Saccharomyces cerevisiae S288C: one gene and its partner. Changing the gene in region 1 together with any one later gene gives a genetic interaction. Each region holds a gene or a part of one and is shown on either strand. Other genes may lie near its edges.

Region 1 (3,631 bases):
TGGACACCAAGTCGTATACAATGTCGTAGTGCCAGCTTGAACGATAGTGGATGTGGAGACTAGCGCGGGTGAAACTGTAGTTGTAACAACCCCATTTGCATCGTTTGTCTTGGTTATCGTCACTAGAATCGTTTCTGGATCAGATGCCAAGGCAATATTAGTTAATCCCAACAATATTGTGAACAGGTAGGTAAAATGAGCGAAAGATAATGTCATCTGAAATTTTTTGGTTTTTTTAGCTTTTATTGTTAATGCTCGCCGTTTTTCAAAGATGAACGTAAATACTGGAAAAGTTCACGATAATTATTGATGATAGATCATTATTCTGCGCTTATATACGTTTTAATTGCTTGCTGGGAACTGCTTATTTGCGATAGTCGCTTGTTTTAAGTCATTACTATGTTTTAATATTGTTTCAGAAAATTATGTTACAGCCGCGTTTTGACTTGAAACGTGCAATATCCAAAAAGAGACTTTACAATTGAAAGCTAACCTAAAATTTGAGAAGATATGTGACAGGTACCCTAAATGTAGATTGGGTGGCTGCTGAGATCTTTAAGTATGAAACGGGTGGACGTACTTGTGCTAAGTGGTGCTGTTAGACAGCTACGAATAAGGAAATTCCGAAGCATGTAGGGAGGTCATGATATGAAAAAGCAAAAGAGTAGGCATCAAAAAGTTTCTCATTCAAGTGGTAACTGCTGTTAAAATTAAGATATTTATAAATTGAAGCTTGGTCGTTCCGACCAATACCGTAGGGAAACGTAAATTAGCTATTGTAAAAAAAGGAAAAGAAAAGAAAAGAAAAATGTTACATATCGAATTGATCTTATTCCTTTGGTAGACCAGTCTTTGCGTCAATCAAAGATTCGTTTGTTTCTTGTGGGCCTGAACCGACTTGAGTTAAAATCACTCTGGCAACATCCTTTTGCAACTCAAGATCCAATTCACGTGCAGTAAAGTTAGATGATTCAAATTGATGGTTGAAAGCCTCAAGCTGCTCAGTAGTAAATTTCTTGTCCCATCCAGGAACAGAGCCAAACAATTTATAGATAAATGCAAAGAGTTTCGACTCATTTTCAGCTAAGTAGTACAACACAGCATTTGGACCTGCATCAAACGTGTATGCAACGATTGTTTCTCCGTAAAACTGATTAATGGTGTGGCACCAACTGATGATACGCTTGGAAGTGTCATTCATGTAGAATATTGGAGGGAAAGAGTCCAAACATGTGGCATGGAAAGAGTTGGAATCCATCATTGTTTCCTTTGCAAAGGTGGCGAAATCTTTTTCAACAATGGCTTTACGCATGACTTCAAATCTCTTTGGTACGACATGTTCAATTCTTTCTTTAAATAGTTCGGAGGTTGCCACGGTCAATTGCATACCCTGAGTGGAACTCACATCCTTTTTAATATCGCTGACAACTAGGACACAAGCTTTCATCTGAGGCCAGTCAGAGCTGTCTGCGATTTGTACTGCCATGGAATCATGACCATCTTCAGCTTTTCCCATTTCCCAGGCCACGTATCCGCCAAACAACGATCTACAAGCTGAACCAGACCCCTTTCTTGCTATTCTAGATATTTCTGAAGTTGACTGTGGTAATTGGTATAACTTAGCAATTGCAGAGACCAATGCAGCAAAGCCAGCAGCGGAGGAAGCTAAACCAGCTGCTGTAGGAAAGTTATTTTCGGAGACAATGTGGAGTTTCCATTGAGATAATGTGGGCAATGAGGCGTCCTTCGATTCCATTTCCTTTCTTAATTGGCGTAGGTCGCGCAGACAATTTTGAGTTCTTTCATTGTCGATGCTGTGTGGTTCTCCATTTAACCACAAAGTGTCGCGTTCAAACTCAGGTGCAGTAGCCGCAGAGGTCAACGTTCTGAGGTCATCTTGCGATAAAGTCACTGATATGGACGAATTGGTGGGCAGATTCAACTTCGTGTCCCTTTTCCCCCAATACTTAAGGGTTGCGATGTTGACGGGTGCGGTAACGGATGCTGTGTAAACGGTCATTGTGCTGGTGCTCACTGTCTGGGAATTTTCAATCTTGCATCACCATTACCAGCACGATGGATGCTCTTTATATATCAATCTTCGAGAAAAGGCTAAACGAGCCATTTCGGCGATTTCGGCATCGTGGAAAAGTTTCACAAGAATCAGGCCAAAATTAAAAGTAAGGTTATCAGAAGGGCGGAGTATACTATAGATTACAGTAGAAATAACTGTCGTAGAATAACAGTGTCAACTAATGTTTATTTGGCAGAGAAAGAGTATTTTACTAGGGAGGTCCATTCTGGGCAGCGGCCGAGTTACCGTTGCTGGAATCATTGGAAGCAGCAGAAAGAGATATACGTCTTCTTCCTCCTCCTCCTCCTCCCCTTCCTCGAAAGAATCAGCACCTGTGTTTACGTCGAAAGAGTTGGAAGTTGCAAGAAAGGAAAGATTGGATGGACTGGGACCGTTCGTGTCTCGGCTGCCTAAGAAATGGATACCGTATGCGGAGCTGATGAGGCTAGAGAAACCCGTGGGCACGTGGCTGTTATATTTGCCCTGCAGTTGGTCTATACTTATGGGAGCCATGATGCAAGGTGCTACATTGAGCGCAACAGCTGGTATGTTGGGTATTTTCGGTGTAGGTGCATTGGTAATGAGAGGTGCTGGCTGCACCATCAACGATTTTTTGGATAGAAAGTTGGATCAAAGAGTTATCAGGTCCGTCGAGAGGCCTATCGCCTCTGGTAGAGTGAGCCCCCGTCGGGCGTTAGTATTCTTGGGGGCTCAAACTCTTGTTGGAATGGGCGTTCTATCTTTGCTTCCTGCGCAGTGTTGGTGGCTAGGCCTTGCATCGTTACCTATTGTGTTCACATACCCTTTGTTTAAGCGGTTTACGTACTATCCTCAAGCTGCATTAAGTGCATGTTTCAATTGGGGAGCGTTACTTGGGTTTCCTGCCATGGGTGTAATGAGCTGGCCTACAATGATACCTTTGTACCTGAGCAGTTACTTGTGGTGTATGACTTACGATACTATATACGCACACCAGGATAAAAAGTTTGACATCAAGGCTGGAATCAAGTCTACCGCTTTGGCTTGGGGTCCACGCACAAAGTCTATCATGAAGGCCATGTCCGCGTCTCAAATCGCACTGTTAGCTGTCGCCGGCTTGAACAGTGGGTTGTTATGGGGGCCTGGGTTCATTGGTGGACTAGGAGTCTTCGCTTATAGACTCTTCAGCATGATAAAGAAAGTGGATCTTGACAATCCTAAAAACTGCTGGAAGTATTTTAATGCAAATATCAACACCGGACTTTACTTTACGTACGCCTTGGCAGTCGACTACATCTTGAGACTGTTTGGATTCTTGTAGATATAGCGTGCATATACAAGTGTTTAATTGTTCTTTTATTCGATTATTATTTACATGCATTCTTACGTAGATGTCCGTACCTATTTGGGCTTCACGATATTCTTGATGGATGATCTAGAATTCCCCGAGTGAAATAGGGTCTTGGCAGACGTATGTGAAAGGATCTGAGTTAATATTGACCTGTTCAATAGCTTATTTTCTGCCACACTGTTGAAAAAGCAGTCCAAGATCCTGGCGTCATTCTTCACAACGCTACC
Region 2 (4,074 bases), on another chromosome or scaffold:
ATTATTATTATATCATTTTTGTAGCAATATATTATTTTTAGCGGTGCTTTATAAAACAATGGATACTAAGGATGGTTCAATTCACTCATCATTTGGATTTATCACTATAAAAAGCAGTAATGAATCTTATATACATTTATTTCAGTGAATCCATATTTAAGAGAGCTTCCTCAGTGACCCCTCCCCAAAACTCCTCTCCTCCTGGGCCCTCTCTTGATTAATTTAAATTGCAAAAAGATTTACAAGTTTGCGAAAAGACTGCTTTATTTCCGCTTGGCCTGTGAGCTGTGTGTTCTCTCTTCTAATCCAGTAGGCATGTTGCATAAATAAACCTTATATTTGATGTTGTTTTAGAAATGTAATCTATATATAATTTCGTAGTATAAATATTTATAAATAAAGAAGTGAAACCATACCACTCATAAATAATGCGGGATGGTTGTCCAAGTTTGAAAGTAACTAAAGAACATAACTCGATGTCATATCAAACGTACTGGCAAATAAAATAAATCATTGGAGATGGATGAGTGTGGCGATAAGGCCCACGTGAATGTACAACTTCTCTCTTTTTCTGTTTTTTTTTTTTTTCTCAGTTACAAACCTTAGATCTTTTGTTCTGGATTTCTCTTTTCCCAGATGATCTTGGCTGGACCGGTTGGAAGAGTAACCATAGATGTAAAGTCAGGAGGTGGAACGGTCTTACCCTCTGGGTAATGCCATTTTAATGTTCTGATAAAAATGGACATTAGAACACCTAGCTGACAGTAAGCAAAGTGTTCACCGATACATCTGTGTCTACCACCACCGAAAGGTAAGTATGGAGAGCTGACACCCTTAGAAATGGCACCGAAACCGTAATCGACTTCTTCACCGACGGAATAAGAGGAGGCAGAATCTTTGTTCCAACGGTGAATGTTGAATTGGTGAGCATTAGGGAAGTATTCGTCTCTTAAATGAGTGTAACCTGGAGAAACCAAAACGTGATAACCTGCTGGGATGACATAAGAAGTGTTTGGAACGTGCATATCTTTCATAACCTTACGGAACAAAGAGTGCAATGGATGGTGCATTCTTAGAGTTTCCTTAATAGTTTGGTTCAACAATGGCATTTCTTGTAATAAATCGTAGGTCAATTCCTTCTTACCACCATCCAAAACACGCATTTGTTCTTCGTACAATTCTTGTTGGACATCTGGTCTTTCAGCCAAGTGCAACAAAATCCAAGCAGAAGTGGCAGCAGAAGTATGTTGACCACCCATTAAGACACCAATTAACAAGTTAGCGATTTCTTGATCAGTCATCTTCACACCATCCTTGTAGGTAGAGTTCTTCATCAAGGAATCGATCAAATCTCTGTCTTGAATGTCGTTGTTCTTTCTTCTTTCCTTAATCAAAGACATGTAAGTACCGGAGATAGCCTTTTGAGCGTGATCTCTCTTTCTATAGTGTTCCAATGGTAAGTTAGGGAAGACGAAGTTGATTGGAGTGAAACCCTTATCCAAATCACTGTACAAGTAAGCAAAATCGGTATCCAATTTTGCTCTCATTTCCTTACCCAATAATGATCTTGAAGCGGTGAAAATAGTCATTTCAGGTTGAGTAACCATCACGTCAATAGTACCAGTAGTTCTTTCATTCAAACGGAAGTTTTTGGAGTCTCTGAAGTACTTGTACACTTCTTCAGCAATCAATGGAACGTAGCTCTTGAAGGCTTCTTTGGTTAGAGCACCCTTAACAAACTTCTTTTGCTCCATCAATCTAGAATTTGGACAATCGTAAATAACACCTTTACCGAAAACTGGAGTAGTCAAATGAGCGTAAGCAGCTTCTGCTGAAACATCTGCCAACTTAGCGTTGAAGACAAATTCGTGACCCTTTGGTCCTAAATACACAGTCATGACTCTTCCTAACAAAACGAATGAAAAAATATCACCGTATTTCTTTTGACATTCTTCGAAAAACTCGTATGGCTTCATACCGTACACAACAGCACTACCGACCCATGGAATCCAGTAAAACACTAGAGGTGGACGGTCCTTTCTCAAAGAATATAGTAATTGCCATACAATATTGTAAATGAAAGGAATTATTATGATCAAAGAGATTCTTTGGGCCAATGGTAAAGCCAAGAAATGACTTAAACCAATGTTTACGTATTCCAATGCCTCTCCAACGATTGACTTGGTAGCAGACATCCTTGTATTACTCGTTTGTTCTGTTTCTATTCAAGCCTGCTGCAATTGTGAAGGAAAAAAAATTTTTTCTGGAAACTATTAATTAATATAATGAAAAATTATTACTTCCTATCGAAAATACACACGCTGAACGATACTGCTTATCAATCTTTTTATAAATAATTTACCAATAACGAAAAGGGAAAAAGGAAAAGGGAAAAAAAAAAAGACATTGAAAGAGAGAATTAAGAGGGAATAAGAAAACTAAGGGAAAATACGCTATCTTATATAATGAATACACATGGAGGGCAATTTTTAGAGGCTTTTCGAATACATGCGAGTACGTAAACGTCGTTAACTCGTGGAGATGCACAATAGGATGTGCTCATACCAAGAAAAAAAAAAAATTCAGGCATAAAATCGATGTCTCCTGCAAGATACCTACCACACTTATTGTGTTCTGCAAGAGACTATTGTCATCTGAAAAGCGATTATCTTGAAATCTTAGTTTCGTTTCGTTTCGTTTAGGGCCAGCGCTTCGTTTGTCTCGTTTTTCGTGGATTATCGGCCTTTAAGATTGTCCAACCCGGCAAATCTTGCACGCACATTGTATGTGCGCTGCTCGTATAGTATCCACTTCGTGTGACATTACTATAATCGTACGGCTTAGTCGGGAATAAAGGCTGGCCTCATTTTCGTACAGAGACATTTTGCCGGAAATTTCGTATTTTGCTGTGCCCCCGGTAATTCCCGGGCGCGGCACAAAACCTCTCTAAACAACCGCCCATTGTTGCAATTGTTCGTCTGTACGGGACAGGCGGCGATCATAACGTCGCACGGTGCACAGCAATTGCCGTTTTCGGAGATCTCCCTGAGTAAGCAGTCGTTTACGACCTTAATGGCTTTACAATTATCGGTTGGAACAATAACAAGAACAATTGGTTCTCTGCCTGGTGGTGAGTTAATCTGGTGGGAATGTAGTGCACAGGCGCGAGTAACGTAGGAAGCGAGAGAGAACAAGGAAAAAGAAAAAGTGGAGGAAGGTTGGTTGTATTGTCTTTTTCGGTTCTTTTCTTTTCTTTTTTTCTTTTTTTACGATGCATGTATATGTATTTTAATAGTAAAATATATTATTAAATAGGGGAGTGTGGTTGTGTGATTTAGTAGAGTAGTTAGAATAAAAACGACACAGTGGAAAAAAAAAGGTATTTTCTTTCTTTCTTTCTTCAGATCTTGCCAGCATCGAATCTTCTGGATGCTTCTTTCCAGTTGACCACATTCCAAATGGCTTTGAAGTAGTCGGCTTTCTTGTTTTGGTACTGCAAGTAGTAGGCGTGTTCCCAGGCGTCAATGGCAACTAGAGGAACTAGTGGGCCTGTGACGGTATCCTGGTTGTAGGTTTGAACAACGTCCAGCTTGCCTCCATTAGAGAGGTTTTTCACAATGAAGGCCCATCCGGAGCCCTGCACGCCTGCTAGCTTTGTGTTGGTCAACTTAATCAGCTCGTCCAGACTGCCAAACTGCTCGTCGATTGCCTTTGCCAAAGCGCCGGTGGGTGGTTCACCACCGCCCTGCGACTCTGGAGCCAGGTTTTCCCAGAATAGACAGTGGTTTGTGAAACCACCGCCATGGAACTTGATGTTTTGTTGGATAGCAATCATTTTTCTTGCGTTTGCGGGAGAGGGCTCCTTGGCCAGAAGATCTGAGAGTTCTTGGAATTGGTCAACAGCAGTGTTGAATCCGTTCACATAAGTTTGATGGTGCTTGGTGTAATGCAATTCGTTGATTTGACCGGAGATATAAGGTTCCAATGCACCGAAGTCCCACTTCAAGTCTGGCAAGGTGACTTTGGTTCTCCTTGCTGTGGTGGAGAGCAATGACAAACCACCCTTCTTGGTTA

The links.
Region 2: mutations in MVD1 (region 1) and ERG11 impair growth when combined (synthetic growth defect), as found in Saccharomyces cerevisiae (2 studies listed by BioGRID, with this or other methods).

What each region holds. Positions count from the first base shown.
Region 1 is NC_001146.8:700,284-703,914, reverse strand, and holds MVD1 (diphosphomevalonate decarboxylase MVD1), read right to left. Parts: upstream 2,021-3,631; coding exon 830-2,020; downstream 1-829. Other genes in the region: AGA1 (Aga1p), read right to left, coding at 1-216; COQ2 (4-hydroxybenzoate octaprenyltransferase), read left to right, coding at 2,256-3,374; MRX15 (Mrx15p), read right to left, coding at 3,455-3,631. UniProt on the Saccharomyces cerevisiae protein: Diphosphomevalonate decarboxylase; part of the second module of ergosterol biosynthesis pathway that includes the middle steps of the pathway. MVD1/ERG19 converts diphosphomevalonate into isopentenyl diphosphate.
Region 2 is NC_001140.6:119,489-123,562, forward strand, and holds ERG11 (sterol 14-demethylase), read right to left. Parts: upstream 2,196-4,074; coding exon 603-2,195; downstream 1-602. Other genes in the region: YHR007C-A (uncharacterized protein), read right to left, coding at 3,062-3,277; superoxide dismutase SOD2, read right to left, coding at 3,401-4,074. UniProt on the Saccharomyces cerevisiae protein: Sterol 14alpha-demethylase that plays a critical role in the third module of ergosterol biosynthesis pathway, being ergosterol the major sterol component in fungal membranes that participates in a variety of functions.